3 linked regions of the Oryzias latipes genome follow. The protein of the gene in region 3 purifies or fractionates together with the protein of the main gene of each other region. This does not show direct contact. Links are inferred from orthologs where the notes say so. Each region holds a gene or a part of one and is shown on either strand. Other genes may lie near its edges. The genes, in order: tmem231, tctn3 and tctn2.

Evidence for each region.
Region 1: the proteins of tctn2 (region 3) and tmem231 purify together in Homo sapiens (affinity purification with mass spectrometry; 3 studies listed by BioGRID and IntAct, counting the BioPlex papers as one, with this or other methods). This does not show direct contact. The link is inferred for Oryzias latipes from reciprocal best matches to the Homo sapiens genes TCTN2 and TMEM231.
Region 2: the proteins of tctn2 (region 3) and tctn3 purify together in Homo sapiens (affinity purification with mass spectrometry; 3 studies listed by BioGRID and IntAct, with this or other methods). This does not show direct contact. The link is inferred for Oryzias latipes from reciprocal best matches to the Homo sapiens genes TCTN2 and TCTN3.

The regions. Positions count from the first base shown.
Region 1 is NC_019864.2:27,556,866-27,561,259, reverse strand, and holds the start of tmem231 (transmembrane protein 231), read right to left. Parts: upstream 2,781-4,394; 5' UTR 2,502-2,780; coding exon 2,363-2,501; intron 671-2,362; coding exon 504-670; intron 1-503. Other genes in the region: gamma-aminobutyric acid receptor-associated protein-like 2, read left to right, coding at 3,397-3,430, 4,180-4,235. UniProt on the Homo sapiens protein: Transmembrane component of the tectonic-like complex, a complex localized at the transition zone of primary cilia and acting as a barrier that prevents diffusion of transmembrane proteins between the cilia and plasma membranes.
Region 2 is NC_019877.2:7,548,942-7,553,335, reverse strand, and holds the start of tctn3 (tectonic-3), read right to left. Parts: upstream 3,113-4,394; 5' UTR 2,786-3,112; coding exon 2,473-2,785; intron 1,159-2,472; coding exon 1,044-1,158; intron 967-1,043; coding exon 869-966; intron 771-868; coding exon 655-770; intron 571-654; coding exon 462-570; intron 1-461.
Region 3 is NC_019876.2:4,345,544-4,349,937, reverse strand, and holds the end of tctn2 (tectonic-2), read right to left. Parts: coding exon 4,290-4,394; intron 4,191-4,289; coding exon 4,070-4,190; intron 3,964-4,069; coding exon 3,810-3,963; intron 3,739-3,809; coding exon 3,655-3,738; intron 3,575-3,654; coding exon 3,452-3,574; intron 3,353-3,451; coding exon 3,278-3,352; intron 3,206-3,277; coding exon 3,116-3,205; intron 3,010-3,115; coding exon 2,892-3,009; intron 2,209-2,891; coding exon 2,105-2,208; intron 1,980-2,104; coding exon 1,832-1,979; intron 1,716-1,831; coding exon 1,581-1,715; intron 1,340-1,580; coding exon 1,251-1,339; intron 1,009-1,250; coding exon 887-1,008; 3' UTR 745-886; downstream 1-744.

The sequences.
Region 1 (4,394 bases), on a different chromosome or scaffold from region 3:
TTGGTTGAAACGCTTGCCTGTATAGCAAAAATGTGATGTGATTTAAGAACAAACCTTATATTTCAAAAGGGCCAAAGATCCCAGCGGGCCAGTAAGTATTCTAAGTGGACTTGAGTTTAAAAAAAAAACTCGTTTCTCACAGTGTTAACACCTTATTGGTCATATTTTCTTCAAAAACTGTGTGTGGATCTACAGAAGTACTTTCTCTTTGTCTGTACTCTGATCATTTTTAGGTAAATGGGTTTGTGTGTAAACGCACAGCAACATACTTTTCTGGTAATAGATATTTGTCTTAAAGAAATATTTTAGACACATTAAGGTTTTGGTTTAAAGTATAGAAACAAAAAGCATGGACCAGCTTTTCATCAGGGCTAATCAATGAAAGATTGCCATGGCAACAGGAGCAATGCTTTGAAATGCAGCTTACACAATGACATAGGAATGTGGTTCTTAAGACTTGAAAAAGTGTCACACATATCAGTGATACACAAATGTGTTCTCACAGAGACGGCAGGGATCCGCAGGTTGGGCCCCAGCATGTTGTTGAGGTGTGGGAAGGTACTCCAGGCCACATAGTCCCCTTGAGTGCCGGTGGCTGCAACCATCAGAGTCTGGTACTGAAACCTCACAACCGGCTGTTCTTCATACGTGCTTCGCTTTAACCAGAAACCTGAAATTGAAAAAACAAAACTATAAGGTTTTAGGAACTTTTTGACGTTGAGATTTCTTCTAATTCTATGTTACCATCAAACCAAAAACCAAACATAAAATAGCATAAGATTTCTATTAGAATCCTTCAGCCAAACTTCCCACAATCTCCTATAGAATTTGCTTCATTTTTTTTTTTTGGAATGGAATTTGCTTCTTGACAAGGTTTGTCATGCAGAAAACATGTCCATCTGATGTACCCAGAATTCAACAACTTTTCTGACTTTTCCATGGCATTTTTTACATTTGAACCCATTTTTAAAAATTACAGAAGACGTTTTAAAAGCATAATTCATCATTTACCAAATATGTTCGAATAATTCAGTTCAAAATAGCAGCATTTTTGTCACATTTGTTCCACAGCATTAATAAGGGCATTTTTGAATGGTAATATGGGTTACTGTTGTATTACAAGCAAAGGCACTAATGTGCAATGAAAGCCAGCATGAAAATAACACAACGTAAATTCTGTTCCTGTAATGGATTTGAAACATTCAAATCAAATAAAACTTTATTTATAGAGCAGTTTTTCCAACTTGAGTTACTTAAAGTGTTTTACATAAAAACATAATCCAATTTTAAAAAACCAAAAGCAAGACAAAAAATATGTATACAATGCATAAAATGCCCCCCGCCGCACACACACATGCACGCACACATGCACGCACACTATAGTAGTGCATCAAATGATTCACTAAAATGATGCAAAGTAGAAAGTAGAAATCCGGCTTTGTGGGGAAATTATAAACCGTCCTCACAAGTGAGCCCCACCCAAGTTCACAGAATACACTACAGGACTCCCCAGATGCAAGAACCAGACCCAGAAGATCCCACTGCAGCGATCCCCATTCACTGAAAAGGCTCGGCCACCTATTTGGAAGAAAATTGTAAACATGTCAAAAAAAAAAAAGTTTGGTAAAATTTAATAGGTGTGGGATTATAAATTCACTTCTTTCCCACCCAATTAATCAAACTCTATTTAAAAAACATAATATTTTATGGATTCAATGTATTGCACACGTGTGTACTGTATGAATAGGTGTAGATATACCTATTTATGATACATTGTAATGTCAAGTGTATAAAAACATTTTCTGTCATTTTATTTTTCTCAAACCAGTTTAGGAACTAATATTTTAAAATGATACTATATATACATACACACATATATATATGTATATATTTTGTTTTATTTTAGAGCTGAAAGCTGCATGAAATCCATCAATCAAATCAAAACACATCCAACAGATTTAAGGCTAATCTTTCAACAGACACAAATGGATTTAGTCATTTTGAAAACAACTCATATCTAGACTTAAAGCAAAAGTTGTAAAAACTTGGGTTATTTAATATAAAAGCTTATTCATATGCATTCAAAGAGAATAGTTGTTGTCTAAATCAAATAAATCTGAGTAAAAATGGAATGAAATATTGCTGAAATGTTATTAATTTGTTATTTTTACTGGACTAATAAAACTTTATTTAAAAGGCCCTGGCTTTACTCATAGGCTTTGTAACGTGTAAAGTAATATAGATAATAAAAATCCTTTTTTTATATTCTAGCATAAACAAAGACTTTAACAAAAACATAATATATTCTTTTGTTCAAAATGAAATAAATGGACACTTTAAAGCCTCGATATATATACTGTACCTTGACTCCTATAAGCAACAAGCAGAGGTGGGATGTAGGTTAGGCACAAAACAACAACCAGGAACAGCGTAGCCTTTGTGCAAACACTGGTTTTGTACCGAATTACAGCCGGATGAGAGTACACTTCGTAGAAAGCCATACGTTCGGTGTAAAGACAGCTAGCTGTAAGGCTACAGCTGGAGATGCTAACCTAGTAGCGGACTAAATGATTACCGGCGTAAAAATGTCGATACTACCTAAACTGGTCGTTAAGAAACTCCAAAAAATCTTCCTCTGGATTCTAAACGCCAGTAAATTCATATTTTTCTGATAACTTTTCGCGTTGAAATGCTATTTTGCTAGCCCCTGCAACATGTAAGGAAACGAGCCCCCCGCCATATTTCTGCAGCGTCCCTCGGTTTCCATGGCTACCATGGTTCAGGATGCATTCATGAACTGTGGGGAATGCTGAAACTCTTCTGTGGTCCTGAAATTAAGTAAAAGCACAAAAGTAGTTATTTCATTTCATGCCTGGAAAATTCCCATATATTATTATCTTTTTACGTTGTTATGGGAACTATTAATTTTAAATAAAAGCTCAAATAAAAGCATTAAAATTTTTTATACAATTGTGTTTCTAATAATAAATGCCCATGACCGTTCTAAGGCATTTCAATGTATCATTTTTGTTTCATTGTTTATTCAGTCTGACTGTATTAATTTTGTATTTCTTTGGTGTTGTTTTCATTAAACTAGAAGGATATTAATGTAGAAACTAGATATTAATGCGTGTCTGTCAACAGCCCCAACTACAAGGATTTTTTTGGACCGAGCACTGCTGGGCGCACTTGAACGCACCAGGAGCACCAACAGCCAGACGGTGACGTCACCTCTCCGCGAGACGGACAGCTGAGCAACAGAAGCTCTTTGTTGACGTTTTGTTTTGGTCGCTTTGGGCAGGATTTCTGCAAGTTTGAACCCCCAACAGGGTTAGCTGATCGTGAAGCCCGCCTTTCGCCCCTGCCGTCACGCATCAGTGCGGGAATCCAGCAAAGATGAAATGGATGTTTAAAGAGGACCATTCCCTCGGTAAAAAGGGTTTGGGTTGTTGTTATGAAACCAGAGAGAGATGTCCTCTTTTCATGTCGCGTGTTTTTCCTTTTTGCTCCGCGGACTGTGTGTCCTTCGATGTGGCTCCACCACCCATCACAGACACACTAACGCGGGGTTTTCGCAGGAGCCTGCCGGAAATCGATCCTGCTTAGCTTGGCATGATCATGCTAACACGCATTTGCTGCAGGTTGTTTAGGATCACCTCAAGAGAAACGCCATTTAAAGCATTGCATCATCATCTAGTATTGCTTTAATTTCAATATTTTGCATGCATTACTTAAAAAAGTATGGTGGATTAAAAAAAAACAACCTTTTTTTTAATCTATTTTTACTGTTTTTTTCTATTAGGCCTAGTTTGTGTTATATAAGATCCTTCTGTGAAGTTTTGTCTTGTCATTCTCATGGTAATTGGATAACCTTGAGGACTCTTTTTTTTTTAAAGAAGCACCTCTGAAGATAGAACTTTTATCTGGGCTAATGAACCTAGATGGAGTCCTCCCCTCACTCACTCACTCCTCCCATCCTCCCTGCACATCCATGTGTCTGAAATGAATTTGCATGAAGATGTTGTACTATTCCTCTGAAACAGAGGATCATGAGTGGGAAACATACACTTCCCCCATCTTGTGTTGTGCTTGTTCAAGGCTGAAGACAGGAAATCCCCAGAGGACGCACTGATCCCTTTAATCTCTGACTTCCTGTTTGTTTGCTGTCTCTTTCCTCAGAGCACCGATGTGTGGAGTCAGCCAAAATACGCAACAAATACCCGGACAGAGTACCGGTGAGTTGTGGGGGCTGGGTGCTTTTATCGGAAATGGAAATGCAGAGATGATCAGAGGGAATCAATACCGAAATCTCTGACATCCAACCAGCCTGGATGCTTATGTATGATAAGTCAGGCATCTTCTGAGTGCAACGTCATTCCTCTTTTTCTCAAATT
Region 2 (4,394 bases), on a different chromosome or scaffold from region 3:
GCTGCTATGTTTAAATTCATTTCCAGATAAAAATCACAGTTGAATTTGTGTTCAGTTTGGTACTTCTTATTAATAAATCTAATGTTATCCTGATTTAACAGCATTATTAACGTCCTTTTTGTAAGATTTTAGAGGGCTGCAACTCGCTGTTTCCTGTTTTCCACTTGATATAAATACCTTTCACAATAAAAGTCCTTTCATCAGTTAACAAAAACTGAATTATTTTAATTTAAATATGACATCAGAAGTCGAACGAAAGAACACATTTGATGTAAATATATCTTAAAATTACATATTCATTGTAAAAGAATAGTCAATATTCAATTTTTGCAACATCTTGCCTTCAGAATTGTCATTACAACTAATTTATCTACTTTAAAACAGTCAGATTGTAGCTTCTCTTGCAGAAAACTATGTGAATTGACCCCCTTTTAATAAACACCTTTGCTTTGTGAACTCACTTGCAGGGTTTCGGTTGATGCAGAGTGTCGACACCGTCCCCGCAGAAGGCTGACGGAGGACGCTTCGCACAGAAGAGTCCAGGAAATACGTCTGGATAACGTCATCAACCTGCAAAACCATGTCCCAAATAATCAACGCATCCTTAAGGCTGACTTATTATAAGTGAGTAAAAACCTTTCATTATGCGATTACCCGGTAAAAATCTCTTTCATGACTGATGAACGTTTGACCTGGAGCTGAGAAGTGGTAGGAGTTTCCTAAAACTGGACGTCCACTAACTGCTGGGACAGACTTAGGAGGAACATCTGCTGGGAGGAAAAATATTTTGTGCTGGTGGGTAAACCTTATTTCTTGCATTTTTTTAAATAGATGTACATTTATTTTGCTTTATATTCAGTTTACTAACTGTCATTTTGGACACAGAAGAAGGAGTCGGTCACAGTGACGAGACGAGAATCCATGTTGGCTTTGAACATGAGCCATTTCTCAATGCAGACTCCTAGACTGGGAAATAAAACAAATGAAACGTGATCACGTCTCCAAGATGAACCATCTAGGACTTGGAGAAAATAAACGCCTACGTGACTGCTTGTGGGCATCCACGGAAGACGGAGCTCAAGTTGGCAACACCACAATCTGTGGTGTCACAACAGCAGCCAATGTCACAGAAATCTGTTGTCAGGTCACAAAGACAACCTGAGAAAATAAAAACAAGAACTAATTCAATGGGAAAGCGTGTTTTATTCATATCTTTGCAAGACTTCAGTATTTTTACTTTTTTTTTTTTTATTTCAAAATAGCAAAAAAAAAACCTCCTGATTTAAACATTTAAGGGACAGGATTTGAGTTTAAATAATTCAGCATAGATGGCAAAAAATTTGTTTTATTTTGTCAAAGCAAAATTGTCTTAAATTTTTCTTTTATTTCTCTGATTTCTTTTTGTACTGATATTTTTGAGATTCTTGTTTGAATTTATTTTATTTTATTGTGATTTAAATAGTTTTAAAAACTGTCTACACTAAAAGCGTAAAAATGTTGACTAATTAAATCGATTCGCACTTCGAAAATACGAAATAAATCAACCAAATTTGGCGATTTTTTAATTAAACTAATATGTTGTATTTATTAATGCAAACCTGTTTAGTATTTGTTTTTAACATAAAAAATCCTAATTCTGTCAATCAATACTGCAACTTCATTCAGTAGAAATGTTTTATTTTTTTAAATTTGCTTTATGAATAGAAAAATTATTAAATGTATGATTTCTATTCAAACTTGTAGATGGAAATAGGTATTTTAGCAGCCATTTCCAGCCTCAAATTCTCCAAAGGCCTTTGAATTTCTCTGCCTTTGCTCTGCTTTGGGCAGAAATTCTGCAACCTCTAACAGCAAAAGAGCCATTTGGTTCAGTTTCTTCCTGAAACAGCGAGAGCCGCAACGTTTAGAAATCCTATAGAAAAATAGACTTTATTGATGTTTTTGTGGTCATTTATCAAATTTAGCTTTTAACATTTACGATCATTGAATTATAATAGTGCTATGTTCTTATTTTAACTTCTATGACAGCAGCACAGACAAGTTCCTTTCAAAATAAAATACACCCATGTCAAATAGGATCCTGCTGTAGTGGATTTAGTTGAGCCAAAAATAAAAGAAAGCCAAGTCAAATATGGGATTTTCTGTCATGATAGTGCGCTTTTTCTCTACTTACTGTCAAATATAAATATAAATCCAATGTCTTTAAGAAATCTATAGGTTACATTTAAATGAAATTAACTTTACCTCTGAACAGCAGACAGATGTAAACATTTCTGACACGGTGAAGTAAACTTTTTACCATCAAGTAAGCTGACATGATGTTAGAAATCTTAATGTAAATGACAGCATCTAAGTAACTGTAACTAAAAAAAGGAACCTAAACTCCCAAACCATTCAATATTTAAATAGTTAGCATTTTACTCAAAGCCAAAGAGGTTTGGGGCTTCTTGCACATCGTTGCAACTTGGTTACCCTGTAAAGCAGGCTGAGTTGTGCTCTGGACGGTGGTCGCGGTTGGAGCCCCGGTGAAAGCTGACTCAGACACGGACAGCGTGGACGTTACCGTCACCGTGGAGTCTGGAGTGGGTTGCGGTGACACCCCCTCCGTGAGTCCGGCTGTGACGGACTCCGTGGTTCCAGACCCGCCCGGAGCTGGAGTAGCTGCGCTGAGAGGCTCCACATTTGTTGGGGTGTTAGTCACAGCAGAAGCTAGTCCAAGCTCCGTGGCCGCGTGAAGTAAACGTGCACACAAAACAACACATATGGGGAATAAACAGAGGTTCATTTCGCCACTAGAGACATGGCGCAGTTATCTAAAATTGTAAATGTATATATATAATATTGCTGCTACTTTTAATCATTACTGATTTAAATATCAAATAGTTAAAATTCCCGAAAATCTGAAAACCTTTCAGTAAGCTACTTAGCCAAACACCCTTATTTTGTCTCGTTGCTAAGGAAGTTGTCATGAAGACTTCCGGTTTCAGGACCTCGCTACCGTAAATCGCCTACAATAGACGAACATGTGCGTTTCTGATCAATAAACAAAAGCCTTCAGTTAGTGGTAAATGACATGATTAATAGGAGCTTTTCATTATTTCAAAGCTTTCCAAAATCTTGATAAATTGTCCTTTTACTTCACCATGTTAATATATATGCAGCCCATATTATCTGTTTTTTAATGTCCTCCGGAAAAAAACAACTATTTAGGTCATTTAAACTTCTTTTTCAAAACAATTTCTTCTTTGTTCAACTTCTCTTTACAAGTCACTTTTAACCTTTTTACAAATCTTTACCTTTTTTCCCCCCATCCTTTTTTTCTGTTCTTGTTCCCCACCACTGGAAACCTTCCCCTGTAAGGAGCCCAAGACAGGAAATTGAAAGATAAATGATACAAATAAAAATAAATGATTGTTTCCCCAATTTAAAATGTTGTGCGCAAAACGTAATATATTATTAGCATTTTTTTGCATAAAAAATACTAATTTTTGCATTCAAAATGCTAATTTGAGGGAACTATTTATTTATTTTTTTGAGTGCCATGTCCAGGGCTCTGTACCCTCAGCTCAAGGACTTGAGATGTCAACAGACTTGACACAAACACTTAACAAAACTACATCTAAACTGAGTCAAATAAAAGTTTTTTGAAAAGGATGGACAAAAAAACTAGCTTGTGTCGTAAATTAACATGAACATTTTCTGTTTTACAGTTATTGCATCGGCCACTATCCATTTTAGAGTGACGTCCAGCTATATATTGTGCTATTTTTCAAAGGTAGACATAACATGAACAATAATCAGTGTGTTAGAAGAGCAAGACATTCAATTCTTCCATCTTTCTGCTTTTCCTCAGCTTTTAAACACATAGAAGGTATGGCCTCAATTCCAAGTATTTTCACTATTTATCTTTTAATCTTTAATGGCTTCAAACTGATGTTTTATTAATGGAATTCTTATGACTGCTCTATCTTTTGCAAAAATGTTCTGTTCGAGCTGCATCGGTGCAAGCCAAGTAAAACAAGGAGAGCTCAAACTGGAAGGTTCTCAGATGTGGACGAGTGGAGATGTTCAAACTGGGCAATGCAATAAAGAAGTATTCAGACATCTGGATTTGAAAAGGTAAAATTTGATACAGCATTACTTGATTCATCTCATATTGAAAATAAATACTGTGTCCTACTAACTTATACATAAATAATTGTTAATAAAAGCTAAACGTTTTCCTAAAAACTGTAAATGCTATTAAAGAAAAAGACACAATATGACAATGTATCCTACAATTGAGCTCAATCAGTATTTAGTACCAACATAATTTTTTACCCTGTTATTATGTTTTGGCTCCTCTCATGTCTAAAAGTATTTTTTTTAAAGTGAAGTGCATTGGAACCTGGTCC
Region 3 (4,394 bases):
AAAGGAAAATGTCAAGATTGATCCATCATATATTGAGGTCAGTCTGCCACACAATAAGTTTAACAGTGCAATAAAAAGGCACCAACTATAAAAGTACAACATATTTTACTTTAATAAAGTATGTTTAAGTGAATGGCACTATTGATTTACAGATAAAGATGACTAAAAAGGCAGCATTCTTTAGAGGCGGAGGTAATAAAATCTATAATTAATTTAGTCCAGTGACTTTAACCTCAGCAGGCATGAGCCGCCAAAAGATTACAAGACAAGTCTAGATACAAGTTACTAAAAGTTATTCTAAAATATCCAACATTTCTTCGCTTGTAAGAAATGTTGGATATTTTATTGCTTTAAGCATCTATAGATGACAACACATTTACTCAGGAAAAAAGATTCACTGGAAGATCAGCCAATAGGATTGGGTAGAATTCTCTGCTCTAATCCAGTTTTGGTTTAGATGTCAAAAAGACTGTAAACTGAATTGAATTATAAACTTTAAACAGAATTTTTTTTTTTAAGCGTTGTTTGTAAAATCTGTTATGTGTGCCTTTAGGAGAGGCACTGAACATTTAAACTCCAGTACCAACAAGAAATTGAACTATAAAATGACTAGTACTATGTCAGATGTCAGAAAGAATACGTATAAAATAAACACATTTATGAAGACTGTAAAAAAATTGAATCATTGACAGGAGTAGCAACTAATTTGCCAAGTCCATTACCAATAAAAGTATGACACAGTAATTATTCAAAAAATAGTGATTTTATTAAGTAAAATTCTTAATTAAAACAAATTATTTTTTAAAATTCAAAGGAAAAACAGTTTGTATACCACTTTCAATTAATAAAAATGTACAAAATTTGTCATTGTTTTCAAGAACAGGTTTCAGAAGGCAGCACTGTGCCATGCCTGTCTGATTTTCCTCCATGGTGATCCAAGAATTGAGGCCGTGATGAAGAAGAAAACCAAGATCAAACCCTTTGCCAATGCCAGAGAATACGGCTCACCTGTGACAGAGATTAGCAGTACATGTTAATACGTTAATGTTAGTAAGTCTAACACTGTATTTACCAATTCGATTATCCCGATCTTGTTACAATAAATACTGATTTACTTTAGAAATCTACAAGAGTGTCTTGCTCAGCTCACAAATGTTCTGTTCCTTGCATTTTAGCTATCAGAAAAGCAAATTGATTTGTGCGAAATAATTATTTAATGTGTTAAAGTATATTTCCATGAATAATCATACCCGTGTAATATCTGGTGAAAGGAAAAGCGAGCTCGGGCCAGCACACATCATTCCTGTCACAGTCATATTCTGTAAAGTTGATCTGAAACCTAAATGATATAAAAAATAAACGGAAAGCAACACAAGTTAAAGTCTATTTAACATAAGGTAAGAATAGAAACTCCACTATTAGTTCGATGATAGAAAAACCAAACCATTTGCAGCAGCAATTACATCAGCATGGACAACATATTAAGTGGAAAAGATCAAATAAACAACAAAACAATAGAAACACGCAGAAAAACAGAATAACTTTTATTGCACTTATAAGTCATTATCAAAATCATTCACCTGCTTTTTGGTGGCCCTGTGTTGTAGGGAATGTCAATGAAGGTGACTGAAGAGGTGATCGACAACAACTGACTTTCTTCACAGAAAGACCCATTGCCTCCTCCACAGTCCAATGACCAGGTGGACAAACCATAGCTAAAAAAAACACAAAAGGCTACATGAAAAACAAGACGTGAACACTGTAGTAAAAAGTAGGAGTTAAGATGTACTTTCAAGCTCAGTTTGCATTTGAGTAAGCATCTGATACAAACCTGACTTGCAAAGCAAAGATTTCCCTTTGAGGTATGCTTCCTACAAACCCAGTGACAAGAGTCCAAACCTGCACGTGGACATGGGATGGAACCGCCCTGCATTCACTGGACGTGTCCTCTGCAGCATCGCTTGAGTTCAAGCTTACCACTAGGTTAAGAGTTAGCAAGATCATGACTGTACACTTATATTACAAATAAATAAAACAATTATAATTGATAATAGAAAGACAAGTGATCAATTTTGAATGATGTTTTCTGGCCCAATATACTTACAGCTAATGTTCAGCCAATCTGTCATGGTAAAAAGATCTGGGTTTCCACGCTTTGCCACGTATGCAGCAGCAGTCAAACCTTCTTGTAGCTTAAAGACCGTTTCTCTAAAATTCAGAAACATTAGATGCACTCATTTGTCTCAGCTCTGCTATTAATGTACACGTTTGACTTTTTTTTTAGCTTCTGCAGTTAAACTATCAGCCTTTTAGTGTTCTGAAAATCTTCAAGTAAGTACTGGCTTTTCTCTCATTGTTTCCATTTTACCTCTGAAGATCTTCACTTTCTGGTATCTTATTTTATCTCCATTATTGCTTCATGTTCTATGAGCAGTCCAAGCTAGATCCTTATGTCCTCAGCCAAGTTCTTCATCTTGATACAGTTAGAATAAATTGACTCAAATTAAACTAGATTAAATTATAACAGACTTATCTGATTTGATTTATTTTTTTCCAGTCTGTTTGCTTTCTTTGTATGGTGTTCTGAGATGTTTTTGTCTGTGAACTGGCACCACATAATTGAAAAAAATTAAACCGAGGTCACAGAAGGCCATGGAGTCACGCACTTAGTCTAGTACACTATTAGAATGGGTCTAATACATTGACCTACCTTTTTAAACAGAATAAAAGGGCAAAAACATTAAAATCAGAAATTATTTTTGACTAAAGTAAAGCTCCAGCTTTTTGGACCTCAATGACTCAAAGAATACAATTCTCACTTCACAGATAAACACAAAGATATTTATCTTTTTCACAAATGTTCTGTAAATAAATCATGACACCATACTGACCTCAATAGATTACACTGAGTCAGATTATTTGTGACAACAGGCAGCAGGCATCCAGATGTGTAATTCTTCCCAAACAGAACTGCCTCCCTCTCAGCACTGGAACAGAGCCCATCATGAACTGGCAGACAGATCAGAGAACAGCAGTTAATCTTCTGTAATGTTGAGTGAAATGCATTCAGTTTTGGGTTAAAAGTGAGTTGTAATTATTTGTATGAAAGTGTAACCTGGTTTCCAAACATTAATGTAGGTTTTTTGCATTGAGGATGTGTCGTTGTCTATGATTCCAGCAATAACAGGCCTCCCCACCTGATAACCTGTCAAGTAAAACATCCTTTAGTTTTTTTTACAGTGCATTTTTAAGAACAAAGCCTCATCTCCATCCTTACCTGGGTTCCCTGACACAGGCTCAGCCATAGAATTACCGTTTAAAAACACAGCAGAATATCTCGTTCTTAACTCCACTGTTTGAAACACAAAACAAAATGTGTCACTAATTCATTTAAATAATATATTTTGGCTCCTGCTGGACAAAGTTCTGCATGGGGATTACCGGCACTTACCGCTTGTATTTGAGATGATGGTCCCAATGGTGCGTGTCAGTGCGATTCCTGTGAGGCCATTTGCTTTCCAATAGAACTTGTAATCCAGCGATATGGTCACATTCTCACACACCAGAATCTTTTCTTCAGAAAATATGAGCAAACTTGATTATAAATTTACTGAAAATCTGCATTATTGTCCATCTATGTTATCATCTAAATACCTTCAGAAGGAACTGTGATGCTTTTGGTGATAAATGGACCTACATCAGAGACCACTTCTTCAGCTACATCCACTTCAACAACTCCTGAAGCAACAGAAAAGTTTCAGAAAACATTGAAGCAAAACTACAGGGTGGTTAGCACACAAAAAACTCACCGCCTTGCCCATCCATGACTTGACTGGTCAGTTCTGCCGATTGTGTCTGCAACGGAAATCCCGTTGGACAAGAGTGGAGCAGGGTTACACATTCCACTTTGAAATTTCTCAAAAATGCTACGGGAGTGTTGCTTCCACATCGCCCCAGGATGACCTGTGCAGCAAAAACCCATCTGTTGAGCTTTAAAGCTCTGCCAACAAACCACATCAACCATCGTTTAAAAGGACAATCGTTCTAAACAAACTTACAGACAACTTACCTGAGGTATAACAAAAAACTGTCCATCTAACTGGATAAGTGGGCTTTCTTGAACATAAGGACTAGCTGATGCGACAGCTGGAGACACAGCTTTTTGGAAGGATGGGCCAAGCACTGACTCCCTTGAGATATTACAACCAAAAGACAAAAATGTGATGAAAATATGACACTACATATGACAGAATAAATGGTTTTGTGAGGGAATTTTATTTCTTTCTCACTTTGTGCTTCCGTGGTAAAAGAAGCCGAGGAAAGGGTTGTTTTCAGGTGGAGAGTTGACACATAAAAATGGAAACCAGTCAGGCGAGTTTTCAGAGGATTGAGCC